4 linked regions of the Mytilus edulis genome follow. The protein of the gene in region 2 purifies or fractionates together with the protein of the main gene of each other region. This does not show direct contact. Links are inferred from orthologs where the notes say so. Each region holds a gene or a part of one and is shown on either strand. Other genes may lie near its edges.

Region 1 (7,023 bases), on a different chromosome or scaffold from region 2:
TTTGAAAAGTAATTCTTACAAATGAGTCGGATTATTTACTTCATATCACCATATCAATAAAAACTATTTGAAAGGGGCATCCCCCTTTTTTATAGATTAAAGCGTTGGTTTTCCAGTTTCCATAGTTTTACACTAGTAATTTTTGTGGCCCTTTATAGCTTGCTGTTCGGTGTAAGCCAAGTTGTTGAAGGCCGTACCTTGACCTGTAATGGTTCACTTTTATAAATTGTTACATGGATGGAGTAGTTTCATTGGCACTCATATCACATCGTCCTATATCTTTTAGTTACGAATTAAACAAACAATTAAAATTATGATTTGGGAGTTCAGATACTTATTAATAAAGGCAACAGTAGTATATGCCGCTGTTCGCAAAAAGCGGGATATAGAAATCGTATTATGCCATTAGCAGTCACGCTGTTTAAATTCCCTCAAAATAAGCTAAGAATTAAAAAGACAACATGGATTCTGTGTATAATTGTCTTGCAAGTTAATAATTCAACTTTTATGCATACTTTAATTTTAACCTAAAGTGAAGACAGTACCCTATGCGTTCAGCAATTAGTTTCATCATAAATATGTCTAGTATGACTATCTTTGGCTAATAAAAAAAACCATATACATAAAACGACGTCACACAAGAATGACAGATTCAACGATATAAATTTCAACTGGCAAATGCAAAAATCACCGGTCGTGCGAAACTTTCAACGCAGTAGTCATGGCCGTTAAACACCCCTTAATAGATCAAGAACTATCTCTTAATCATTACATGCATTTGAATCATTAACTATTTCCTGATAGAATAAAACTCTAATAAGTATTAAATCAAATTAACATATCACAAGCAGGTGAATATGTTCATTATATAACTTTGAACATAATCATCAGTTCTTAAACTGAATAAATAATTAACCCTAACTTTCAGACATTATTAATATCAATAATTATAATTATATTTAAAGTTGACTATTATAACTAGGAAAGATACGTTGCCATAGCATCGTTATATAAAGCGGTCTCGCCTTAATGTGAATAAATATAGACCTGTAATTTACTAAATTCATAATGTTGATATCTTTGATAAGTTAAATTAAACTTAGATATACTTAATATTCATGTATAGTATCAATCAAATGTGATGCTGAAAAAATATCAGCAGCTGTTTTAATATTTAGAAATTAATTGACTGAAATAAATGTTTAATTGTAACGTTAATGTCTAAATAGTAATTTGTCTTGAACTTTTGGTTCTTTTTCTTTATCATAACAATGCGAACCTCTTCTTTAATATGTGTGTCTTTTAATACACCAAACGCCACAGCAACGACATATGATGCATTATATTACCCCCCCCCCCCCTTTTCTTATGTATATACCATTTCGTTCATTGCAACCATTAAGGCTATCAGAACTGAATAGAACTAGTTTCTGTTATCACAGAGGTCGTTCTTCTGTTAAGAGTTTATAGAGAGAAAGACTCAGTGACAAACCATGTTACAGTGATAAAAAAACATTATTTTGTTTGTAAGGCCAACTAAAATTAATTAGTAGATTTTCATCCAATTTTTTTCAAAAAATGGGGCGGGTGGGAGGATTTTATTTTTTAAATTTTATTTCATATGAAACCATTTTGTGACGAGCTCTTCATATATGCAAGTGTAATAATAAGCTTATATCATGTATGCACAGGTATGAGGAATCTTACGTTATTTTTCAAATCCTAAAATAAATGTCTCTAATTGCGGCTAAACAACAAAAACGTGTAGAAATGATCTCTTCAGTTGGACCTTCTACACCAAATGAATTTGGGTTCCTAAACGATGGTTTTTAGTCCCCATAAAATGAAGCAAATGCATTGGTATGCAACACAATTATTATGAGTACAGAACTAGAAAACTCAAACAGTGTTGAAAATAATAGGGTTGGTACTTATGCATTTATGCAAAATGAAAATATAATTACCATGTAAAACACATGTGAACTTAATAATAAAAAAGAGGTTGTTGTTTAATTACCCTTTTTGGGTATTGGGACAATTTCTGTTAATCAACAAGAAAAGACAGTCATGGCTAAAATCTAAGGGCATGTGTAAATAAAAAGCGTATGTTAGTCGACTTTTTAAACTCAATATACAAGTTCGTGTTTGTGTTTCAATATCCTTAATCCAGTCATGTTTTCTGTATCAATGGGTACCACGAGTTTAGCGCTTGGGATATCTTTCTCATTTAAACTTCCTGACACAAAGTCATTGCATAAAAAAATTCAGTTTTCTAATCACAGAAATTTGTGACATGGCCGCGATTTGTGGTCTAGGACACAGCGTTTTTCTCGTAACACGAATATTTAACTTCATTATCGTTATCAGTTTTTACTCTCAGAAGATGATGTTGTCATCATAGAGCAGCAGAATATGTCGACAATCATTTTGGTTAGATTTACTCGAGGTACAAAACCGAAATTTGAAACAGGAAGTCATAATTGAAACGAAATTTTTCACGGTTATCGGTAACGGAAACCAACAAAATCCGTAAATCGTAAATTTTATAAAATAAAAAAAATCGGGGCGGGACGATTTCAGAGGGGCGGGCGGGGATGAAAATCTATTAATTAATTTCAATTGGCCTAGTTACCAGTATAACACTAAAACCAACCCTGCAGTTTGTTACAATCAAGTATCATAAAACTCTCTTTGTCTCTAAAAATAGCCAAAACTATAGGAAACAAACTGTCAGTGTCAATATATATATATATATACCAACAAATCAAAGCCTCCTCCATCAATGTCTCGGTTAAAAACGACTATAGTGACGTCACAAACAATATTGGATGAATGAAGAGATTTATTACACTGATTTTATTATATTAGTTCAGGGGAGAAATCGAGTCTGGTGAAGAGGAACAATCCTGTACTGGAAATCAACACACTGGCAAAACCCCCCTTTTTTATCAACTCGCCCACATTTACTGTGTCAACTATTATAAGTTATATGGTTTGTTACAGTACTGACCCCCTACGGATCCATAGAGGGTTAGTAAAATCCATGAGGGTTTGGATGGGGTTAAATGATTAAAGAATAATGCCCTTAAAAAATAAAGATTAGAGAATAATGAGCCAAAAAATAGAAGATTAGAGAATAAAAGGGTTAATTTTTGGAAGATTAGAGAAAAAAGGGGTTAATTTTTTAAAGATTAGAGAAAAATGGGGTGAAAATTAAATGTTTACAGAATAACAGACCCCCCCATCCATACCCTCATCCATAGGGGCTGAGGCCATATGCTCACGTACGTCCCAGAAAGGTGGCACTGTATTGTGATTAGTTAAACGGACAGAAAGTCACAGGACAAAAAGTCACAAATTTGGTAGGACAAAAATACATATATTCATTTTTAGTGTAGGAAATGTGTCATTATGCTTGAAAAATTAGGATTTATTTAATTTTAATCATGCAAATGAAAGATTTCTTGGCACTATGATCTTTGATATTTTTTTATAAATATTTGTTAACAAAGTTGGTTTATGTACAAAAGTTCAAGAAAAATACAAAAATATTTTTGTAAAAATAATCGTTTGTTATTCAAAGAAAATAATCAGAAAAAATGAATTGTGACTTTTTGTCCTGCGACTTTTTGTCCTTGACTTTTTGTCTGTGACCTTTTGTCCTGTGACTTTCTGTCCTAAATTCGTGTGATTATTGTGGTCGTTATTTTTTTTCTAAGTAGGACGAGTTGGTAAAGAAGAATGGAGTGGGTTTTTTTACGAACTATAAGTCGATTTGTTGTGGGACGATTTCAAGAAGGACGAGTTGTCGTTGATTCGATTTTTTTACTCATAATTCCCGCCTTTACAACTTGTACTTTCACTTTCGATATCGACCACAAATAGTCTTTAACAATCTTTAACTTTTCGATTTCGAAATGTAATATATCAAAATCTATTTAAAATATAAAAATATTTTACAATATAACGAAAATCGAATGTGATGGAATAAAGCTGTTATATCATACTAAATTAGAGACTACGAATGTAAAAAAGTAAACATGGCCGATGAAAAAAGCATGACACCTTACTCTGTCAAATTTATTCTTTTCCATCACATTGACAGTTTGAGATAATTGCAAATAACATATTTGTAAACCTCTTTATTCAAAATGTCAAGTGATTTTGAACTGACGCCTTTGATTGATGAAGATGATGAGCTGTCCGACTGGAATGTTCTCGTTGCCTTTAACGAACTTCGTCACTGGGAAAAAATTGAAGGGTCAAAGAAAGTTACCCAGACTTGGAGAATGAAAGAAAGGGTGCATATTCCATAATTTAAAGCTGTTCTATCTAAAATGTTCACTTATACCAGCAATTATTTAATTATAGCAATAATAATGGATTCATGATGTTCATTGAAAAAGGCTGTCTTATTTTGTACAACATGTATGGCCAATTTGGATTTTATATGCTATGAGATGAGACTGACACACAAATCCCTGTCTGTTCGCTCCCATTCACGTTCACGCTCAGTCTTGTTCGCACCCTATCACTTTCGCACCCTACACTTTTGCACCCAGAGTCCGTTAGCACTCTACACGTTTGCGCCCAGTTATTTTCATTGGTTTTGTGTTTAATGACTTTGTAATTAAGTTTTGCCAAGTGTATTCCTTTACATATGTACGGTGCAGTCCGGTGTATCCGCGCACCTAAGACTTATGTCTTCACTTCATTTAACTGATAAAACCAATAATTGGATAATATTGTGTGAATACATTCATAACATACTTTTATTTCATAAACTTATCAGTTTGTAGGGTTTCACCCTCAAGATTTTGTGTAATGGGTTTCCAAAATTGGGGAAACCCATTTCTGAGAGTTCCTCCAATGTCCGGTGATTTCGCGCATGCCTTCCAAAAATAGCTTATTTTGAATAGAGGAAAGATTTGCTGCTACAAAAGGTAGCTAAATTCAAACCAAGCACACTGCCAATGATGCAGAGCAAAAATTATTTCAATTTGATAAAAAATTGACTTAACCCTTTCACCGATTGCTGCCCAGACAGAAGCTACTCTGAGACGATAGCTTCCCTGGCTACTTTTACTCAAGTGGGAGATCTTCATAATAAATGTCAATAAAAACTTGTTTGTAGTTATTTGTGTATTTATTTCATTCACTAACACAATGTTCACAGTTTTGTTTATGTTTTGATAATTTTTTTATCATAAAATATTCAAATTTTCAAATTTTCGGCATTATTTATGTGAAATTCTCAAAATTCTGCTCTTTGACCCCAAATCGTAATTTTTTAACTCAAAACGGCAAAATTTTGTAAAAATTTATGAGACTGTACAAATTCCTCACACTGAACGATGTCCATTCCAAGTGTTTTGTACATAAAACGACATTTTATGTCAAAAAAGTATACTAGTTTGGCTTCAATTCTTCCATATTCTTTCAAAAAAAATGTTCCCTCATTTCAAATTCTCGTAAATTCCGTAAATTTCCTTCGATTTTGACAAGGTTTTCAACAAACGGAAGCGACATGTTTACACTTTCATCCGGGTATTCATGAAAGAAAGATAACTCATGTTTGCACTGTTTTGAGCGGGAAATATAAAAGATGTATTCTGATCCCGGTAAAACGGGACTCATCGTCAGCTGTCTGAAGCGTAAATCCCGGTAAACCGGGACTCATCGGCGAAAGGGTTAAGTATAACAAATTTTATCTGATGCTGAATTTCTTTTAATGGCCATTGGCCAAATATTGTAAATCACGGGATTGCAGTTATTATTTCTATCTGGAACTTATCTATTTTATTCTTTTTTCTCCCTTCGGAATGCTAAAACAATAACAAGAACAATTTCATTTGTGTTACGGTGTTGATATAACTATATCAGCAAATGCGCGGTATCACCGGCCGCGCGGACACCGGGGACTCCACTGTATTCCAAGTATAATTTTTTGTCATTGTCTCAAAACTTTGTTTTTATGTTGAATAAATCTTTATGTCTCATCATTTTTTGTGTGTTGAATAAATCTAAATCATGTTTTGGATTGTGTAATGTATTGTTTAAATAAAAAATCAGTTTCTAAATAAAGTGAGATTCTGTCAACGTTTTTTTTTGTTGTTGTGTTGAATAACTCTTTATCATGTTTTGGTTAGTGTATTGCTATAACTTTATATCATTGCTTTAAAATAAACAGATAAAGTGAGATTCTGTTTTTTTTTCAAGTAATAACAATTTATATCTTTCGTGTTTTTCATTTAAAATCTTCAATTTTTTAATCATACCAAGCCTTTAATCATGTTAATACATGCAGTATTTACATCAAAGCAATTTAAAATTGGGCGCGAACGGGCTTTTGGTGGGAATGTGTAGTCCACCAACTGTTTCACTATCCAGTCAACAGTAAACACTGAGGTGTGACAATTAAAGTAGTCCACCAACTGTTTCACTATCCAGTCAACAGTAAACACTGAGGTGTGACAATTAAAGTAGTCCACCAACTGTTTCACTATCCAGTCAACAGTAAACAATGAGGTGTGACAATTAAAGTAGTCCACCAACTGTTTCACTATCCAGTCAACAGTAAACAATGAGGTGTGACAATTAAAGTAGTCCACCAACTGTTTCACTATCCAGTCAACAGTAAACAATGAGCAATTAAAGTAGTCCACCAACTGTTTCACTATCCAGTCAACAGTAAACATTGAGGTGTGACAATTAAAGTAGTCCACCAACTGTTTCACTATCCAGTCAACGGTAAACACTGAGGTGTGACTTTTGGATTTAACATCTGGTAGCAGATGCTATAGACTCCAATCTTAATTGAAAAGGATCGTAAGTTTACTAGTATGTAAAAGATGCCATATTTGAGTTGCCAAATCTTTTTAACCTATGGTTCAAATTTTTTAAATTTTTTACAAGATGTTCACGATCAGGTTGGCCTAGTTTATCAATGAAAAAAAATAAGAAAAATTAAACGACAGGATTTTTTTTGGGTATAGTGTTGGGTTACATGTATCTTTTAAATTG
Region 2 (7,821 bases):
TGATATGTTTCCCCTTTTGTCATGTTGTGACCTTTTATCGCAGACTACTATACGGCATAGGTTTTACTGAATATTAAAGGATGTACGGTGACATATATATATATATAGTTGCTTACATCCACATCATTTGGACTTTGTTGATAGTTGCCTAACTGCCAATCATATCACATCTCAAATTTTTATATTGTAGGAATTTCATTAAAAAGCTATTTGACTATACCGTCCGCAAGAAGTAAATAAGAACATATTTAGAGGTTTTCTTTTACAAGGAAAAAACACCAGAAGTATAGTTATAATGAACAATTTTAATGACTAATCTCATATCTATCATTATAAAATTACAGATGAAGAATTCTTTAAGGCTACAATGATCTACACATAAAATACAGTTTGTCAAAGTTAAACTGATCTCTCAAAACATCCCTTCACTATTGAACATTTATCATAAAAAAATAAAACAACATTATTTTGTTACATGATTATAATATTGTAGTGATACTGAAAAGTTCACAAAGGTGGTTTAAACTTTTGTTTAGACTTTGTGTAGACAATCTATAGAGCCGCCTGGAGTATGTCTACATCCATGCTCCAGTTCAGATTGTACCAAATTCTTCTCCTCTTCCAGTTCTGACAGGTTGTTGAGAAGTCTCATTCGTCTTGGTATCCAGTAGTTCATGCCACGCCCATGACGGTTTCCTAACCCTCGTTGCTTCACCCTCCATGCATTTGGTATTTTCTTGTTTTCCTCACGCATCTGTCGGAAATGGATTTTCTTTTCAAGATTTTCTTGACGACGACAACGACGCTTAGTTTTCATTTCATCGTTTATATACTCATCTGGTTTATCTTGTGACTCGACGAACATCTTGCGTATATTCTTTTTAAACGGACCATTTCTCAATTGTTTGTCACCGTGGTGACCATTTCGGCATTTACGATCATGACATTCCGCGGTATGATGGTGTGGACCAAATTTACCAAACCGTCTCCCTGCATTAAACCGACCAAATTGTACTGCTCTAGATATTGTCCCAGTGATACGACTTGGACAACTTCTTGCACGGTGATGATTTTTCAGTTTCAGTTTTATCACTGCATTGTCTTTATCTTTACCAAATTTGCCTTCTTTACGTCCGAATCTTCCACGGCCCACCTTTTCTTTTCTTGTAGACGGAGGTCCTGAATTCATACTTCCTTCCTGGTTAGTGGATTCTGGAGTCAAATCTCCAATTTCAAAATGTGCGAGTTTGTTCCTTATGCGCCAGATGCGTTTTTGCAGACGATCGTTCTCACCATTTTGATTCTTGTGGCCTTCAGTTCTTGTGTTTAATGAATGTTCCATTTCTTGTTGTCGCTTCAACCATTTTTGTTGTCTTCTGTTAAACCAGGCTTCCATTTCTTCATTAGATTTCCTCTGCATTTTGTTTCCATGACGACGATGATAAAATCTAAAAGATTCAAGCGCAGATTCATAGTTACCTGGTCTTATTTTGAATATAGACCGCCCATTATTCTGGTCAACGTTGAAATCAGGAGACTTCTACAAAAAATATACGAAAAATAGGTCATTATTATAAGTTCAACTGAGAATTTAATTTTATATTGCACGCAAGAGTAGTTCGTCTTTTTATTTATATGGATGTTAAACAATTTAATGTATATAAATTACTTTCAAAACATGATTTGTGTGATAAAATAGGGTGTATTCAGATGGATATGTGGCTATACACATTTATAAGACTACGAAGTCCGTATTTGAGTTTCTGTCTGTGTTTTTTTTCATCGTTTACAAATTGGTTAATTGCTTCTAGTTGATCATTCAGTTTGTTTCGGTAAGCAAATAAGAAAGTTGGAAGTTCCTCTTATCTTAATTTTACTTACCATCATTTGAGCTTTGTGCAGCCTTCTCCCAGCTTCTTTCTGTTTATTGACTGTGTTACAATATTTAAGCTGGGGTACACTTTTCATATATTTCTGTTGGTCAACTGAAATAAATAAATGTATAATTTAACATGCATTGAACTATACATTATAAACTTACCCACATAAAATATTCATGAATCAAATATTTCACACAAAAATTACATTGTAAAATCGAGATTTCGATCTGAATAATGTCATTATTAATTCAGCAAAAAGTTCTAATTGCAGTTAAACAAGAAAAAGACAAGATAGTAGAGCGATGCATATTGCAAATCAAAAGCAGTGATATAAGCGTATCAATTTAATGACTATTTTAGAGGCGAATTTAGGGGGAGGGGAGGGGTATCCTGGAAAAAATGGTTGATTATATAGGGAACCACTGAAGCATGACTAAAGCGGCCCCCTATTAGGCAGACATTGTACCCCTTATAAAAATGTCTAGATCCGCCTCTGATGACCGTGAAAAATAGACGCAATTAGGATTTCATTTCATGTCCATAGCTATGAACGATGTTCTATAAGAATTTATTTTAAGAATTTTATTAATCTAATCAAGAACCCATAAAGGGCATCATTTTACAACACGATATGATTGGAAAAAGCAAAACAGAAAACTAATACCATACTATAACGTTATGGACAGGATCAGAGCCTAACAGATCATGAAACTATTTCTGTTTTATCAAAATCAATTGCTCTTTCAAGAACAAGAGACATGATAAACTAATTGTTTATTACTTCTATGTGATTCAAATGTAGATGTCTCATATCTTCGGGGCTGACGGCCCTCGGATACGAAAATCCTACATCTAATACATGTGCGATGATTTTATATTCGGCACTGATATGTTAAACGAACAAAAGAGACCGAAGTTTGAGCAAAAGAATTTCTATAACGAGGAAAATTCCAACATATACATGCTTATAAAAAATGACACAGCTAATATGATTTTGTTTGTATCAAGATTTTGGATTCTGTATCAATAAAAATCTCTTAACAGAATTTATAGTTCTTAAATCTATATTTAATAAGTTATGTTTTTAATTTTTTCAAGTCTTTATCTTTTTTTTTTTTACCTTTTCAGGCACTAGACATGAACTGCATATACGATAAATCAAATGGCTTACCTGTGACGAACATTCTAAATATACCACCGGAGACACCTTCCAACGCCTCTTGTAGTTCTTCGTCTGAAGAAAATGAGACAAGATCGCCATCAGCATCTACAATTGATATAACATGGTGATTAATTACTCCCTGTTTTATGAAATTAATATTATAAAATCATGCGCATGTGGCCTACGATGCAGACACTGGCAACCCTAAGCTTTTACTGCTATAATTGATCACGTATTTCACTCCAACACAGATCACATAAGTTTTGAAAAGGGGTGTACATTATCTCTCTTCTTTTAAATAAGTTGAACAAAATAGGTAAAATAGTTCCCCATGCATAAAACAAAACCAGCATTTTTCACATTTTTAATTCGGATTTAATTGGCAAAAAAACAGCAAGTTTCAAAAGTTTCTTTTGTTCATCACTTTTATTTAATTAAAAGAGCAGCACATTTTATTTCAATCACGTTTCCGTCCATTATTTTTTTCCATTATACTAGAGCTCTGACATTATAAATTAATAAACAAACAGTTTCAATATATACATATTTTGTCTTTATTTAAATAAATATTTTCTATATAAATAACTTATATTTACTTATCTTTCATCGATCTATCTATATATATATGTGTATATTTACCTGAGTTAATTATAATATGTTAACTTACCTTTCCACATTAGTTCACATTTATCTGTGAAAATCTTGGTAATTTTCCTCTTCAGGAATTCATAGCTCAAATTTTCATCGACAGTAAATCGTCGGAATTCAGAGGTTTCGTCTTCTTTAATAAAGGCTGCTTTAATTACGAGCGGCATTTTCACAGTTGATTCGAACTTTATTTTCGTCGCTACAAATGCGCATTTAAACGAATCATCGCTTTTTATACCATTCATCTAACATGTCCCATGACCGTGAGTCATAGACGAAAATAGATGAAAAGAATGTTCTAGAACAACGATGAAATACCTCGTGATGATGAGTCAACGGTTTTTAAATTAGATGAAATCGAATAACGTCATTCTATTTGTACAACTTATTAAAGGTTTACAGTGAGTCACGCGGTAGATGAATAGACGAAAGAGGATTGTATTTGTTCAACTTATTAAAGGTTTACAATAAGCCACGCGGTAGATGAATAGACGAAAGAGGATTGTAAAGAATCAAAGAGAAAAATTTGGCAATTTATCAAAGGAGCAATTAAACGATTTAAAACGTTTTATTTAAAATTAAGGTTACAGAACATTTGAGGGGCCTTACTAGGTAACAACATACACATTATTAACAAATATTACTTTTTTTTATCTCCTGAAACAAGGAACATATTTATTTATTGATATTAAATTCAAAACTGAAAGGTCACGAGTCATTCACATGCAACCGACAAAACAGGGTTTCCAAAAATATTTGACCAGGTTTATTGTGATGAAAATCAGGTTTATTGTGATGAAAATTTTCGAAATATCATAACTAGTTTATAAGCAACTAATATCAAACTAGCGTACACGGCAGCGCCTTACTTAATTGAAAAGATACACATTAAATATGATAGAGAACATGCAAAAAAAAAAAAGATAATCACAAAATTCATCCATTCCTAGTCATGATCAAGATATGTACATGTATGTAAGTTTGTGTGTGTGTGAACTTGGGGAGGGTTGAACTTTTTTTACATTTGGGTTCTTAAATAAACGGGAAGAAATTGTACTATTTAAAGTTCACTCCCTTTTAAAACAAAACTGTTTAGACTAACACAATAGTATATCACAAACAAACAAACATATTTAAGTACACCACACAAATACGATAATTATATAAGTTGTTTTTAAGGAAAACGGAATAGTTTTATCAGATATTTTTTAGGAATATTGTTTATTTACAACTCTGTATATTTGGCCGATTTGATCCATTTCTAGTTTGTACGGATGGGCATATGTTTTTTTGGTGTTTTTTTTTTATGAAATTCAAGGTACACTTGAGTTATATAAATAATCCTTGCAGAAATTTTCAGGATTATAGAGTTCTCTTAAAAAGTAGGACTCAACATAAAGAAAAGAAGGACTGGGGGGAGAATGTCACTGTGTGTGTACTATATATATATTTTATTCTGAAGAGCCTACTATAGAAAGTTTTACTATTAAAACATTTTCTCCAAATATTGGAGCGACCCATATTATACGGAGATCAAGAGTACTTTGGGAGTTGCATATCATGATACTGCGGTTGGCCTGGTAGGAACTGCTTATATTCAACATTGACAAATAAAAAACAAAACATAGAATGAAAATGAATAGCTTGTCAAGCAAAACGTAGAAAATGTAAAAGTGAAATAAATTAAAACAATACAGTTTCTCATGAATATGATTTACACCTGATGGATTTAGTGGTCGAAAAAGGGTGGGGTGGTCCCTCTTATATGAGCTATATTTTTTCATAATCCTTGTCATCATCTGAATCGACACAAACATATATCTCCTATCTACTCCTCCCCAGAGAATCGTTTATAATTTAATTTTCAATTTGTGACAAATTAGCCTAACAAATCTTACTATACAAATATTTGATACAATGTGAAAAAAAATATTTGATATAAATGGAAATTGACATTGCTAATTGTTTGTATGTCAGAAATTCAAGAATAACGTATTCGTCATGGTCATAAGTTTCTTATTCTCTGTTCAATTTCGTCGTGTCATTTTGTGTTGCATAAAGAGGAAACATGTGTGCTACTAAAAATAGACATGACATCGTTGTTTGTTGATATTTTTCAGAACGGAACTTGCGCATTACACTCATATTTGAACAAATGTTTGTCATCATTACTTTCAATTACCTGGTCTAGTTGGTTCTGGAATTAAATCTTTCGTCGATTCATCGTCATTCATACCTGACAACTTGGGCTTATAAAAAGAGAAGAGTTGACGAATTTAGACATAACTCTATTTGGTAGCAAAGTGGACACAACGTCAACAACAACAATTTCCCGCGAAGATGTCATTGACAGTAAAAGCCTATTTGGTAAATAAAGGAGAGGAAAAGAGAGAAATACGTAGATTTGCTGTGCCTGCTGATGTTTCAAGCAGCTTCAGCTATCTTCAGAAGAAAGTGGCGGATATTTATCCTACCCTAAAGCAAGGAAATTTTAATCTATATTGGACTGGTAAGTTGATTTTGATTATTTTAATTTACACTATTTACAAAAGCGATATACCTGTACATTTGTACATAACATGATATACTATAATAGGCAACCAAAAGATTAACTGTATACGGTTGTATGCAGCTGTTATAAAACTGATTGCTACATGTAGTAAATAGGATAGAAAATAAAAACAATCTTGTCATATATATATATAACACTGATGGTTTCACGGATTTGATATATTCCATATTTTCGATGCAATATGTCAATTTATGCAATGAAAGGAAGCTTTTATAAATTGAAATGCTGTCTGTAAAAAGGTTTATTTATTTTGTCTAGGTATTTTGAATTTCCATTTTACTTTTGGTTAAGTTTAAAATTAATTATGTAATTTATTATGTTCTGTTAAATGCCCTTGATGTTTCATCATATATATATATAATGTTGTATACCTGTACAAAAATGTATATCCTGTATAATTTGTCTAATAATAGTTGACCTGCTTTCAAACCAGGCTTATTGCAATTTAAAATGCTGCATTATTAGTTTGTTGAATTTAAAGTCATAAGAAACGAGTGACCGGTGAAAAATAATGTTCTTCCAATTCTTGAAGTAATGCATACAAACATCCTAAACCTCGTCTTCTGTGCTCCAATTTATCATTTTTTTCGTGTAAATTTCGTATAATTGTCAATTTTTTTTCTCAATCGGTCAGTGTTGTTGTGAAAATATGGCAGGTAATTAAAGTTCGTGTTTTGAAGCCGAAGTTTAACGATTGTCACCTGTTTGTCAACAATTGACGAAAAATAAACAAAAAAGCATGGAAATTGAGCACGTGTTTAACATGTAAATTCAGATAATAGTTTATTTTAAGGACATCCATGCGTATTGTGGTCACCGGATTTTTACGAGATGGGTCACACTGAGGTCACCTTGCATACGGAAAATATGTCGGGGGAATAGCTTGCTGGAAGGAAGCTATTCAAATAAAGTAAACTTCTTCTAAATATGAATAAATTAAAGAATTTTCTTCAGAAAAAAGTATATGTACATAAGTTTTATAATGAAAACTATCCATTGAGTTATAAAAATCATATGCATTATTTTTTTTTTTGATTTGAGGTTTCTTATGACTTTAAAGTGATCAGATGTTTAAATAATTTTTTATAACAAGATTATAATTCTTTTTCCAGTCATTGTTTCAATAAATGCAAGAAATTTTTAAATGTTTTTGACTCTTGTTCAATTAATCTTAATTATGTTTAAAAAATAAGATTGATTGAAACAGAAACAAATGCATGTTAATTTCCACAATAGACAATGAATGAGTTCATGTACATTTTGAACATGAATATATATATATATATAAAAATTTCCTCATGTTTACAAGGAAAACACTATTGAAACTGAAAGCTATAAGGAAACAATTACTAATATCTGAGAATAGTATGCTGACTATATATTATGTCCCTAATATAATTTATCTAGACACTCAATTTATTTGAAAAAAGTGGAAAACCCATTGCAGATTGTTCTAAAATTGTTGAGATATTTAAAGTTTCTGGGGCAGACTTAATCAGGAATTACATGTACCTATCTTATTTATTTTAGATCCGGAGGGTGACCAGATTGCCTTTTCT
Region 3 (7,364 bases), on a different chromosome or scaffold from region 2:
CAAGATTTTTATACGACCGCAAAAATTAAAAAAAATTTGGTCGTATATTGGTATCACGTTGGCGTCGTCGTCGGCGCCCGAATACTTTTAGTTTTCGCACTCTAACTTTAATAAAAGTGAATAGAAATCTATGAAATTTTAACACAAGGTTTATGACAACAAAAGGAAGGTTGGGATTGATTTTGGAGTTTTAGTCCTTACATTTTAGGAATTAGGGGCCAAAAAGGGCCAAAATAAGCATTATTCTTGGTTTTCGCACAATAACTTTAGTATATGTAAATAGAAATCAATGAAATTTAAACACAAGGTTTATAATCATAATAGGAAGGTTGGGATTGATTTTGGGAGTTGAGGTCCCAACAGTTTAGGAATTAGGGGCCAAAAAGGGGCCCAAATAAGCATTATTCTTGGTTTTTGCACCATAACTTTAGTATAAGTAAACTATGAAATTTAAACACAAGGTTTATGACCATAAAAGGAAGGTTGGGTTTGATTTTGGGAGTTTTTGGTCCCAAAAGTTTAGGAATAAGGGGCCCAAAGGGTCCAAAATTGAACTTTGTTTGATTTCATCAAAAATTGAATAATTGGGGTTCTTTGATATGCCGAATCTAACTGTGTATGTAGATTCTTATTTTTTGGTCCCGTTTTCAAATTGGTCTACATTAAGGTCCAAAGGGTCCAAAATTAAACTTAGTTTGATTTTAACAAAAATTGAATCCTTGGGGTTCTTTGATATGCTGAATCTAAAAATGTACTTAGATTTTTTATTATTGGCCCAGTTTTCAAGTTAGTCCAAATCGGGGTCCAAAATTAAACTTTGTTTGATTTCATCAAAAATTGAATAATTGGGGTGTGAAAAAATTGGGGGGGGGGGGTTAAATTTTTCTCATTTCAGATTTCATAAATAAAAAGAAAATTTCTTCAAACATTTTTTTGAGAGGATTAATATTCAACAGCATAGTGAATTGTTCAAAGGTAAAAAAAATATTTTAAGTTCATTAGACCACATTCATTCTGTGTCAGAAACCTATGCTGTGTCAACTATTTAATCACAATCCAAATTTAGAGCTGAATCCAGCTTGAATGTTGTGTCCATACTTGCCCCAACTGTTCAGGGTTCAACCTCTGCGGTCGTATAAAGCTGCGCCCTGCGGAGCATCTGGTTTTATTTACAACAATATTGTTTATTCAATGAATCAAATCGTGGTATGATATCAGATTATTACATGTCATTTTACATATCGCATGTATTATCGGCCCTAGTTCAATATCAGACCAAGACAAATGGACATGCCGTCACCAAACACATATTCATCCAAAATGACATGTTATGATCTTTTTATCATATGCTTCAACAATGGAGAAAAATAACAGCTAGAATCATATATTCATTCTTTTACGTGGTTCCCAAATAGAAGTTCAAAGAGTGAAAAGTTCACGGACGTCGGACTCCAAATTTCATACTTTCGATATGAAATCTTTCTATCATATGCCTCAAGAAGAAGAAAAATATTTTGAATGGACGAATCAACAAACAAACAAAAAACAATTCAACAATATAAATAATGAACACTGTTTGGAAAAGTCAGCTTTTCTTCAAGTAACTTTCTAAATTATGTTTGAAACTTTTAAAAAATGCATTTATATAGTAATTTGTTTGTTGGGATTTTTTTTTAATTTTTTGTTGTAATTATTTTACACAATATACTTTCAAGTATTCAAATATTGTTTTGTGCACTACTTTGTAAATCAATGTTTTTCACTGAAAACGTAGCATTGAGGTGTAATTTCCGGAATTTGCCGAATATCACCGGAATGCCACGCGATAACGTTACGGAAAGGCATGTGATAACAATCGAAGCATGTGATAAACTTTTCATATCAGCCCGCTAAGCACTAATTCGAAAAATATGGAAGTTGCGTTAACTTAATGCTATTATCATACAGTAAAAATCGTATGTTATTTAGTCTAAGTATATGATAAGTTATGATATACATTTAAATTATAATATAAATTTAAGTTATTATGAAAATTTAAGCTTCTGATCATATAAATTTAAGTTATAATATACATTTAAAAAAAATATAAACAAGTGGATACAGAAACTCTCGTCATGAAACATTGCCTATTCAAACTTGCTTTAAAAAAGAGTCTTATTTGCAGTTCTTTTTCCTCAGTCCAAATGCCGATATTAAAGTCGCAGGACCGCATCACACAACAATGTTCCCGCGTACTCAAATATTCTTTTATACCATAATTCATGATTTAAATTTAATAACGTTGAACTTAATATTTTCCTGGTACTATTACATGTATAGTATACTGTTCGTTTATAGTCCAAATTATGAAAACCTAAATTCTCATTTACTAAGTATTCAAACATTATTCTTTATTTACTTTAAACAATACAGTTTATCAGTATAATATGCTTAAATACACAGTTTACAAGTTGTATAGCGTTAACATACACATAAATAAAAAACGTCAGAAATATCAGTTACATATTATACATTTTGTGAGTTTCAGACTACATATAATAAACATAGGTCTTAAGGTGGTACCCAACACTTCCACTAAAATTAAGTTGGCTCGTTTAATTTTCATAAAATTTTAACAAAGTATTTACTTTGACCCTCTGACAAAAATATCAAAATTTCAAAATATTTCAACCAATCGTTTTATCAGAAAAATTACACTGGTTATATAGCAGTTTGACAAACACTAATTTTGATCATTGAGAAGCTTAATATTCCCTTAACAACACAACGTTATTAAAACATTTAGCAGATTTTACAGAGTTATCTCCCTGTAGTGTTAGGTACCACCTTAAATATTATTCCTGCACTTAAATGCATACTAGAGTAAGTACTTTCCTAAATTACAGAGTTCCTTAGTGTTTTCAACAGAAAGCAATTGTACTAATTTATAAGTTGACGGTCTAGTTCAATAATATTTCTTGATAAACTTTTTATGTATATCATTATTTTGTAAGCCTTGGATTGATTCTGACATCAAAATCATATCATCAGCATACATCAATAAAAAAAAAAAGTGTTATGTCCTGAAATTCAAGTCCACAGTTACCATTATTAATAAATTCATTCTCAAAGTAATTGACATAAAATGAAAATAAAATAGGGGAAAGAACTTCCCCTTGCATTAAGCCAAGATTATTAGAAAAGTATTTTGAATTAAATCCATCAAATATAATACATAGATCTTACATTGTTATACATTGATTTTAAAATATTAAGCAATTTTCCTCTGATTCCTTATTTAGAAATCTTGTACCACAAACATAGACGATCAACTGTATCAAACGATTTTAAAAAGTGAACAAGGCAACAATTTAATCTATTACCTTTACAAAAAGAATTTTGTATGACAGAATATAAACAAAACACAGCATCTACTGTACTGTAACCAGTACGGAAACCAAATTGTGCATCAGATAAAATATCGTTCATTGATGCCCATTTTAGCTACTATTCAAAATAATAGTGAATAGTTTACCTAGATTGCTGACATTAGACTTATACCACGGTAATTTGCTGGGTGGTTCGCATCCCCAGATTTAAATACTGGCACTAGAATAGCATCAGACCAAGTGGACAGAAGATATCCAGAGCTCAAAACGGCATTGAAAATGGTACATATATAAGGCAGCACAAGGTCCTTAAACTCGATGAAAAATTCGTTTAACAAACCATCTGGACCATGACTTTTTTCGCGTTTTAAGTCATGTATAGCTTTAATAATGCCATGCGCTGTCACTTATAAATTCTGTATAATAAAAATAATATTTATGATTTCATCTTGTCACGTTACAGTATAACACATGTAACTTATAGCATGTATAGTTTAAGTTCAGTAACAACATTTTAACATTCGTTTTATTTCGGGGTTGCTGTCTCATTAATATATGAAATGAAGTCAATGTTCGCTGTTTAAGTTAAAGTACATGAGTCATGTCTTTTTTATACCGAGTTGGATCACTCATTTATATCATTTAATTAGTAATAGCCTGAGCTAGCCTAAATATAACATATGTATGTATACATAAGAATTTCCTTGACACAAAAGTTTGAAATATTGAAAATGAAAGTAATGTTGGCTCATACCGCATTTTATTTAAAAATTTTATAAAAATGTTTTTTCTGCACCAAGCCCGCCTGTGTGTATGTACTCAATTATTAATTATTGTTTTATAAATAAGCTCAACCCAATTGGAACCCCGCCTCCAGGTCATGTTTACACGAATGAGTTGTTCCCCCTTAACATTAGCATTTCTCTAGACTTATTATAGTTAGTGATACTAAAAATCCGAGTTAAATTTCCGGAATGTTCTAGGTGTCGCCCTAGTCGATTGTTCTAGATCATTGAAGCCAAGTCGAGAATAAGTTAAGAAACTGGCTATATAAGGCTTGTAAATTCGAAAAATGTACAATAACCAATATCAAAACAGTAGAATGATGGATCTACCTCCCGGATGGGAAATGCTGACCGATACACGGACAGGATGGCCATATTACGTCGACCACAACACACAGAATACAAGCTGGGAAGATCCGAGATTGGTATGTTTACACTTATATTTGAAGTCTTTACTACGTAAAATCAGCATATTAATATAAATATATATATATTTGTAATGCCTTATGAAGTGATAAAAGCAGGAACTCGTACATTATAACACCACAATCTAAATTCACGGAATTGTGTTCAAAAGAGTGTCTCAGGGGGTGGGGTTGTTAAATTTTTATTACTTTAAATGTATATGGGGGTCTTCTTCACTAAGGTTTCCAGTCTTCCATCTGAATAAAGATGATTCACAACTGGTGCATGCATGAGGGTAATAACGCCTTTTAACGTCAGGCGTCAACCAGTCATTTTTCGGCTTCCATTACTTTTCAAATTGGTTAAAATTTACTGTAATTCGTCAAAATATCCTTATGGTGATTCGTCAGAGGTCTCAAACAATAATTGTTGCTGTCAATTTTGGAAATAAAAGAACGTGATGTTTAATCGTCTAAAAGAAAGTGTACATTTTATGTCATACATATAAAATTACCGTTAACGTCATTTGGCAAGAATTTTACCGTTTTTCGTCATGAAGGTACTCCCATTACAACACCTCATGCATGGCCTTTGTGATGAATTTGCAACACTCAATCTGATATTTCAGATAGTATAATGCAGTATATGACACTTAAAATTTTTGAGGTCATTGCTTATCCTTTGTCATGTTTGTGACATCATACTAACCAACAGACAGTCACACTGCACAAATCCTACACTGAAAATATTTGCAATACACTGATACAACTTTAATATGTTTAAAGGGGCATAAGCTGTCAAGATCATGTTCATGGATTTAACCAATGTTCTCATATTGGATTTACAGCTTGCCTTTCCATAATAAATAGAATCCATATATACCAGTCAGAGCTCAGACATTTATAAATAAGTCTGAATCTGCTTTTAACTCATAGAGGTCTAAATTTGCAAGTTTTAAATTAGGATTTGTCTCCCTTTAATGCAAGACAAAATACGACTTTAATAAGTCAAATATTGTTAAGCAAGAAATAATTGACCAGAATCAAAAAGTGGCAAATATCGACTCCTACAAGTCGATAAGTGATCAAAATTGGTTAACTTCAAGACCCACGCATATTTATTTAGAGGTCATGCATCTAAATCAAATAATGACAACATTGAAAGACAATGCTTTGTCTTCTAAAGAAAAATATGAATGAGAGTCTAAAAAATCGGAGATAATGTTAATTAACCTTACAATGCAACCACCTGGAACCACACTTAATGAGGTAAAATATCTGTGTTTAGTAAGGATGTTCAATTAGACAATTAAATATAGATAGCTCAAGTCCTTGTGAACTCTCAGACAGGTTTTTGCTGTCATAGGTGGTGTAGTTTGGCCACCAAGTGAAATTAAGTTTTTTCATCAACACAAATAGACCTAAACAAGTCTGTGGTTCATGGTACAAATGTACATGTAGATATAAGAAGATGTGCTATGAGTACTAATGAGACAACTCTCCATATCCTAGTCACAACTTGTAAAAGTTAACCATGGTTCCTGACATATGACAGGTGCAAACAAATGCAATGGGTTTAACCCTCTTGCCGCTGGAGGGACACATGTCACTGTCCACACCGACTGTGCCGGAGGGACACATATGTCCATGTTTTTATTCATGCAAGCTTCTCCACAGTGATGTATGTTTTTCAAATGAAAATCTAAAGATCAAACATGGTTATAAAAAAATGTATGTTTCATCAATGGGTCCCAAGTGTTACAGATATTATTGCATATTGTTGGACATCTTAAGTCAAAGACGTTGAGCTGTCATATTTTTTAGCACACAAAATGCAACCTTGAAAATCAAATGGCAGCAGGAGGGTAATAAAGGTTTTAATAGGAACCAACCTTCACCCTTTCCTGAAATAGAAAAACATGTACTACATGTATAGAATATCAGTTGAAATGGCTTAACTTATAAATGCAAGACAAGTGAACATACACTGAACAAAGAAATTTATTAAATCCAGATGACACAATGTAAATACAAAATCAAAATCATAGTTTAAATTTAATGTACTATTATAGGTTTGTCCAAGTGACAGATTATCTACATGAGCCATGGAAACAGAGGTAGAGATTGACTCAGTGTTCTCCCCAGGCCGTTTTAGCCGACGCAATATTTTTTCACCGTGATGCTATAATAATTCCCGCGACGCTATAATTATTTTGAAGATGCTATTTTACTTGTCCTCAATTTTGAACTTTCATCTATCATCGATTATGATCATAAAAATTATATCACCTTTAATTGTAATCCCTTTAAGTCGGACACTAAAGGCAATTAAGAGATTAAATAGCTAGGTGTTAATTGCCCTCAGGGTGATAACTGTTTGGATGTGAATATCCCAAGCTGACACTTGTGACTAAACCAAGTGTCACCAATTTCGACATGGAAAAATGCAATCACAAAACAATTCGAAATCTATGTTTTGTATTACGAAATTTCAAAGATTGAAACGATTTTTTTGATTTTTTTAAAGATCGTTTATTTGTGCAACTCTCCAAAAATAACTTTTTTTCTCTTCCGGTAATACGAGAGCGAGAATTTTGGTTTAGAGCTAAAATAAGTTTAATACTTCTGTAACAAGTTATCATAATTGGCTTAAGTTTATGTTAAATCCATTCAATGCATTAAAAGCGTCTTATTCATTCACAATCTCTTGTCAAACAATGTTTATTCTCGGACTCATTTTTCGTAAATTTTCTACGGCCGCCATTGCACATTTTTGTGTAAACTACGGATAGGAACCGTACCAGATA
Region 4 (7,247 bases), on a different chromosome or scaffold from region 2:
TTCGTTTTGAAAAGGGAATGATTCCATAGATATTTAATTAAAAAGAACTATTAGAGATATTACAAGTCACAATCCATTACCTACGACCAAAGCTTAAATCATTCGCACTGTATTAGACTGTCAAGTAATTTGGTCCACTTTTCAATGATCGTCTATCAAAAAGACAACGAATTGGCTTCAGCATTCTGAAAGATTTCAACACGAGGCATCACCGAACAATATGCATTAGTCAAATATAACATTTCAATACTGGTATCTATGATTAGTTTATTTCCATATGTTGTATAAGATAATGAAAGTGCATTGACACACGATCATGTTGCATCTTCCTTTCTATCTTATTGACTTTAACATTATCAACTATGCTTGTCTTATGGAACAGCAGCAACATCAAAAGCAATATCTGGAAATGTTTGTATGTCTTACCATAGTAATTGTCCTATTTGGACCTCAATAAAGTCTGGTCTGGCGGCTCTTATCCTGTCCTTAACTATTAATAATGTCTTCAACATTCTGACATAGTAATTCTGGATTAGAAAAAAACTATCATTGTCTTAGTTTATAGTCTCAAATATTTGAAAGATGTACAAGACTATTTACCAACCTATGACAGAACACTAATCAAGGATACAACACCATTTTGTTCTTCGAAAAACTGGATCCTTTCCAAAGAAAACCAGCTACGTTAAGTGCTTAGACACAAGTCAAGCCTTTGTCATCATGTCAACTGAATACTGCTAAATCAATTGTTGATACTGTTCCTCCACAGTCTAACAGTGTTGTTTTACACAGTTGCAGCAAGATCATATACACGTTAATTTCGGCGCAAGACTTTACCATTTTCGTTAGCTTATTTGGATGTCTCGAGTAGACTTCTCTTCGTATCTTTTTTTCCTTTGACGGAAACCAGTTTTAACGTCCACTGAATTGATTGAACATTTTGTACTGGCAATAATTGACAATATCAGTCCTAGAGATTGTTTTCACACATTTGAGAACTCTTCTATTTCTCATCTAAAAAGTAAAACAAACAAAAAATGAACTCCGATGAAATTCAAAACGGAAAGTCCCTGATCAAAAGGCAAAATCAAAAGCTCAAACACATCAAGTCTTAAAAACTGAGCAGTCTTAAAAACTTTTTTCTACCAATCTAGCTCTTCTATGCAATTCAATCTCCAATTCTTTCATAACATTATACCTCAGTTCTAATTTACAGTTTTGACCTTTGTCCTCAACTTCTTCATTGTGTATTCTCCAGTGTCTAGTTGTGCATCTTCATCATCTGTAAATCCATATGATTAAACAGTGTATCTCCACTCTCAACATCTGACTTGTTTATAACTGTTAAATCATTGGCTCTTCTTATATAGCTGATCACCTCTTGCATTTTCTGGCTTACTGTATTCTAGTGTGTACGTGCAACATCAAAATCAATGTCTAGACATGTTTGTTTATCATAGTAATTGTCCTATTTGGACCCCAATAAAGTCTGCTCTGGCGGCTCTTACCCTGTCCTTATCTATTAAAACTGTCTTCAGCATTATGACATAGTCATCAGTAATTCTGGCTTAAAACAAATCTATCATTGTCTTGGTTTTGGATCTAGTCTCAAATATTTGAAAAATGTACAGCACTATTTCAAAATCCTCGAACAGACCACTAATCATGGAATGGATACAACACCTTTTTTCTCGAAAAACTGGATCCTGTCCAAAGAAAATCATCTACATTAAACTGCTTAGACACAAGTCAAGCCTTTGACATGTCAATTGAACACTGTTAAATCATTTTTTGATACTGTTGCTTAACAATATAACAGTGTTGTTTTACACAATTTCAGCAAGCTCATATACACGTTAATTTAGGCGCCAGACCTTACCTTCTTTGGAGGTCTCAAGTAGCTAGACTTCTTTTTGAAACGCGCATCTGGCGTAAATACAAAATTTAATACTGGTATCTATGATGAGTTTATTTGAAACCACTGGGTCGATACCACTGCTGGTGGAGTTTTAATTCCCCGAAGGTATCACCAGTCCAGTAGTCAGTACTTCTGTGCTGACATGAATTATCATTGATATGGTCATATTTATAAATTAATTGTTTGCCAAACTTTTGAATTTTTGATAGAGTAAGGCTTTTCTACTTCAGGAATAGATTACCTTAGCTGTATTTGGCAAAACGATTAGGAATTTTAATCACGATGCTCTTCAACTTCGTATTTTATGTGGCCTATTTATTTTTTTTTGGATTCGAGTGTCACTGATGAGTCTTTTGTAGATCAAACGCGCGTCTGGTGTAATACAAAATTTAATCCTGGTATCTATGATGAGTTTATTTGTATCTTTTCTCGTTGACGGAAACCAGTTTTAATGTTCACTGATTTAATTTTTTTACTGGCAATTGTTGACAATATCAGTCATAGAGATTGTTTTTACACGTTTGAGAATTTTTCTGGATCTCATCTAAAAAGTAAAACAAAAAAATACTGAACTCCGAGGAAAATTCAAAACGGAAAGTCCCTTATCAAATGGCAAAATAAAAAGCTCAAACACATCAAGTCTTAAAAACTTTTTTCTACCAGTCTAGATCATTTATGCAATTCATTCTTCCATAACATTATCCCACAGTTCTAATTTACAGTTTTTACCATTGTCCTCAACTTTTTCATTATGTGTTCTCCAGTTGTCTAGTAATGCCTCATCATCTGTAAATCCATATGACTAAACAGTGTATCTCCACTCTCACCATCTGACTTGTTTATAACTGTTAAATCATTGGCTGTTCTTATATTAATAGATAGATAGCTGATCACCTCTTTTATTTTCTGGCTTAATGAATTCTATTTTGTACGTGTTCACATTGCCTTTCAAGTAGCCGAGCATCTCTTGTTTTATTTTCACCAGAAATTCTTAAATTCATCATCTGATTCTTCTTTTAAAATTCCATAATTTCCTCCTATATATCTTTATCTGTCTGAATTTCAAGATCAAGGTTGTCTCCATCATCAGTATCAGGAGGGACGTTTTCACGATTTTAAAATTCTACCATACAGGTTTCCATTAGTAAAATTGATACCAGAATGGCAAACACCCCCATCATAACTATCAGCAATACTCTTTTCTGCAGACTCTCCAATAGTTTCTTGGCTTCCATAATTATCAGTAGAGTGAGTAACCCATATTCGCCGCATAATTAGTTCATTTCCACTTACATCCGACATACATTTGAATATTTGGAACTTTTTATGTAGGTTTCAGAAATTTAACTATATGAAAAAAATATTTGATAAAGGAATTATCTTCAAAACATTAGTTAATTGTTCTATAAATGAACGCAAACTCGAGAGGAAATCAAGTTGTTCGTGTACCATGTGAGGCACATTTTCGCCGCAATGTATGGTATGACCATCCTCATTATCCTGGTATTTTATAAAAAACGATGTTTGTAATTAGCGTGAGAGATCATTCCTATACGATTTTTCTCACAAATATTTACATTAAGACTGCCGGTGTGCATGATTGCCATATAAACCTTACATAATAGCCAAAAATTGTTTAAAAATACCTGCATATTTCTTTATATGTGCGAATAACCTTTGAAATGGGGTTAAAGAGGAATATCAACCGTTCGAACATTTCAAACAGATTTTACAATCTATTTAGGCAAGTACTGGTAAATTAAAGGCACACAAATTTTACAGAAAAAAATAGCAAAATGGCGAAAATGTGTCCATGGCGAAAATGGGCCCCCAACTCTATCATGAGTTTTTTTTGGGGGTATCCTAGCTGTTGATCCCTGACTGTTACAAGGAATGGGCAGTGGGAATGGGGATAAGTCTGGATTCAAAACATTTTTTTATCTGCTTGACCACAATTTTTCCCCCATCAAATTGGGAATCAGAAGATATTTTTTTTTGAAAAAAAACAAAACCCCCTCCCCATTATTGTATAAAAGTTGAAGTTACTGTGATGTTTTGTGAAGTTACTGTACATCACCTTGTTCTATGAAAAACTCTAGACTAAAGGCCTGAATGTACACAGTGTGTAAAATATCACAAAGGAACAAACTTTATGGTAAGTAAAACGAACATACGAAATCAACTTGTAAGATTCAATGAACAAAGGTCACAAAGGGAACTTTAATATCAGAGAGTATTATCTTATTGTTTTTTCCAAAGGATAGTTTGAATTTCGCGCATTTTATGACTTCGCCTATTTAACCGCCATCTGACGGAATTAAAAAACCGGAAATGAGATGCACGGAAGTTAACTTGCCATAATAATCAGACGCAATGGCGAAAATACACAACCCTGTATAAATATTGAATTTACCATAACATGTTCAATGACAGATTGACATTAAGATCAAATTCAAGTATGCCCACAATTTTTAGTTTTGCACATTTGATATTTAGTCTGAAACACGTCGAATTACTTCATTCAACAGTTGTACATTCCATCACTGTTCAGCTGCTGAAACAGAAAATGAAAATCGATCATACATTTGCAGATTGTAGACACATTAAAATTACAAATATTTACCACTCAATTATGAACAACTTCAGCACATTAAAACATTTACTTCTTCAGTCTTAGCATTATCAACTCACTTTTTGCAGGAGAACAACATAGTCCAAATAATTATGACGTCTTGAAAGGCTATTATAATTTTTTTCTTTGAAGCCTTAATGTAAGGCGTCAAAGAAAAAAATTATAATAGCCTTTCAAGACGTCATAATTATTTGGACTAGAGAACAACAGTGAACAGAAAAAACTTGAAAGTTTATATATTCATAAATCAAAGAAGAGTGATGTGACATTTTTGTCAGTGATTTAGCTCAAACATTATTTTAATATAATCAAACTTCACATCTTTAAAACAATATGTTATTACTACAAACCCTTAAGTAATAATATCACAAACCTAAACTGTCAAGGATGAGGGAAGTTAATGTATATAAATTTCAGAAATGTCGGAGGGCAATTCACATAGAGGATTCCCGTAGTTGAAAGAATTTGAATCAATCAAATGCAAGTAACAAGCCTAACTTAAAATTGCACAGATAAGAAGACAAATTCAGGTGTTCAACTCATCTTGTCCACTTCATGTACGCTCTGAAATTACATACTACTCATAGAATTGTTGTTTATTTCAATCTGTAGAGTGAGAATGAAAATTATCGCTAGTTTCTAAGGTCCTTAGCAACAGCGTATTAATCTAATTCATGCGCTAGAGTCTCGGCCAATCGGAAAAGATTAGCCGGAACTATAAAAAAAAATGTTATCGGATGACTGCGCTGAAATGTCAACAATAAAAGATGATTTATTCCGAGAGATATCGAGTAAATATGCAAGTCATGCAATGTCAAGGTCGTTAAAAACTTTCATTTGTTGTTGAACTGTTGACGATGAAATGTTCCATCACAGATTTTTTCCCCGCTAAGCGACACAAAGGTGTGGATTTTTATGATAAAACAATTTATAACGTTTGCATGCATTATTTTTCAATTTGTTCTGTTGTGTTTTATTAATAGTCGCGAATGAATCGATGACATAATTGTCAATTTGGTTCAAATGCACTACGCTGGATCAAAGATTCGACAGCTAGTCAATATTCCCCGATCGGGAGACAGCCTCCAGATCTAGAGATGTCTCTAAATTGGGAGACATGGAATACATTATTTGTCTCCTGATTTGATATGACCCAACAGGCCTGAATACTTCAAGCAAATACGGAAAATTTCCTACGATAAAGGAATATTTACAAATCAAATTTGCTGTCAGACAGAATCAAAAATATAATTTAATTTTGAAAAATTAAGTCACACTTAACAAGAATACATGTAATCATGACACTAAGACTTAGTAGTTAGAAAACATCAATTGAGGGGCAATACAGAATTTGAACAGTATGCTCAATTTTGTCAACGTTTAAATTATAGCAGTATTCAAACTCTTAAAATTGTGCAGACAAAATTTTTTAGAAAAAAAGTTCTGCTGGTAGTATGTCAATTTGACAAGCATGAAAAATTGTCTTAAAATTCACCAGATGCCAGGATTTTGAATCTAGATTTCAAAAAATTTTCGGGGGAAAACCCTGCTCATTTAAAGCACTTAAAAAGACACATTTTTCTAACAAAATCCATTATATTATTAATATGACAATACTTTACTTAACAGTAGTAATTATTCATGTACAAATGTACACAAATGTAGATTCATTTTGTTAATGTAGAAAATACTTTTGAAGTGACATAATCCATATGGTTCTTTCTCTCTGATGATCTTTTAGTGTTTTTTTTAATTTGAAAATAAAAAACTGTAAAGAAAAATCTTACTTTCTTGATCTTGTTTTTCAATAGCATAGGTAAATCAGTTTGTTAAAAATATTTTGTCTTTTACAATACTGATCAAAACTTAATTAAAGCACATATCTAGCAGAATGATTGGACAAAATGGATCTGATTCTATATAACTACCAGATAAAACCAACAAAAAAATACTGATAGTTTCCGCCTTCTTTCAGAATTTCGAGGGGTATAAATAATAAAGGAACAGAACTAGTTTAAATTTTGTGGCTATGAATGGAATTCTGTTAGCAACCAAACCAAAAAAATCTCAATAAGGTTTCAAGACTTCTGTTTAAGGGCATCCGATACAGTTTCTCGATATAATGTCATTTTTATAGTTTTGAAATAAGTTGTAGGCCTTGGCGAGTTATAAAATAAAACACAAAATTAAACATAGGTCACCGTGCTCGTTTTCGAAAAAATTGGGGATTTGTGCAATTTTGTAAAAAAGGTAGGCAATGTTATAAAAATTTTGGAGCAAATATTCTTCGTCGTAAATTATTAAGATCGGGTTCAATTTGAAGCTGTGATAAGTGACAATAAGGGAAAAAATAAATCCCTACACGACTGACTATACAATTATTCAAGCTTTGCTTGACATTGCGGACCAGATGTTCAAAGTGGCATTTTTTTAATCCCAAAAATATGAAAATAAAGTGTTTCTGAAAATGTCATTTTTGTCATTTTTCTGCATAAACTGCATTTTGTCATGCTTTCTCCAAATCTCAAATAAAAAATATATGTCACCGTGCTGGATTCTATGCTAAACACGATTTATCCTTAAAATTGCATCCACCCCTTTGTAACCTCAAAGTTGGTGTTAAAGTGCACGACGTCGCTGGCAGACTTTTACGACGTTATCGCTGCAAATTACCGGCGACATTTTTCAGATGTTTAA

Evidence for each region.
Region 1: the proteins of sequestosome-1-like (region 2) and regulatory-associated protein of mTOR-like purify together in Homo sapiens (affinity purification with western blotting; 3 studies listed by BioGRID). This does not show direct contact. The link is inferred for Mytilus edulis from reciprocal best matches to the Homo sapiens genes SQSTM1 and RPTOR.
Region 3: the proteins of sequestosome-1-like (region 2) and BAG family molecular chaperone regulator 3-like purify together in Homo sapiens (affinity purification with western blotting; 3 studies listed by BioGRID and IntAct, with this or other methods). This does not show direct contact. The link is inferred for Mytilus edulis from reciprocal best matches to the Homo sapiens genes SQSTM1 and BAG3.
Region 4: the proteins of sequestosome-1-like (region 2) and WD repeat and FYVE domain-containing protein 3-like purify together in Homo sapiens (affinity purification with western blotting; 4 studies listed by BioGRID and IntAct, with this or other methods). This does not show direct contact. The link is inferred for Mytilus edulis from reciprocal best matches to the Homo sapiens genes SQSTM1 and WDFY3.

Annotation. Positions count from the first base shown.
Region 1 is NC_092352.1:4,899,685-4,906,707, reverse strand, and holds the start of regulatory-associated protein of mTOR-like, read left to right. Parts: upstream 1-4,003; 5' UTR 4,004-4,151; coding exon 4,152-4,301; intron 4,302-7,023. UniProt on the Homo sapiens protein: Component of the mechanistic target of rapamycin complex 1 (mTORC1), an evolutionarily conserved central nutrient sensor that stimulates anabolic reactions and macromolecule biosynthesis to promote cellular biomass generation and growth.
Region 2 is NC_092351.1:5,214,353-5,222,173, reverse strand, and holds the start of sequestosome-1-like, read left to right. Parts: upstream 1-4,807; 5' UTR 4,808-5,270; intron 5,271-5,785; exon of another isoform or gene 5,786-5,810; 5' UTR 5,811-6,030; coding exon 6,031-6,199; intron 6,200-7,792; coding exon 7,793-7,821. Other genes in the region: uncharacterized protein, read right to left, coding at 533-1,540, 1,882-1,985, 3,052-3,147, 3,710-3,935. UniProt on the Homo sapiens protein: Molecular adapter required for selective macroautophagy (aggrephagy) by acting as a bridge between polyubiquitinated proteins and autophagosomes.
Region 3 is NC_092355.1:71,848,516-71,855,879, forward strand, and holds the start of BAG family molecular chaperone regulator 3-like, read left to right. Parts: upstream 1-4,343; 5' UTR 4,344-4,440; coding exon 4,441-4,578; intron 4,579-7,364. UniProt on the Homo sapiens protein: Co-chaperone and adapter protein that connects different classes of molecular chaperones including heat shock proteins 70 (HSP70s), e.g. HSPA1A/HSP70 or HSPA8/HSC70, and small heat shock proteins (sHSPs), e.g. HSPB8.
Region 4 is NC_092352.1:34,272,042-34,279,288, reverse strand, and holds the start of WD repeat and FYVE domain-containing protein 3-like, read left to right. Parts: upstream 1-4,245; 5' UTR 4,246-4,374; intron 4,375-7,247. UniProt on the Homo sapiens protein: Required for selective macroautophagy (aggrephagy). Acts as an adapter protein by linking specific proteins destined for degradation to the core autophagic machinery members, such as the ATG5-ATG12-ATG16L E3-like ligase, SQSTM1 and LC3.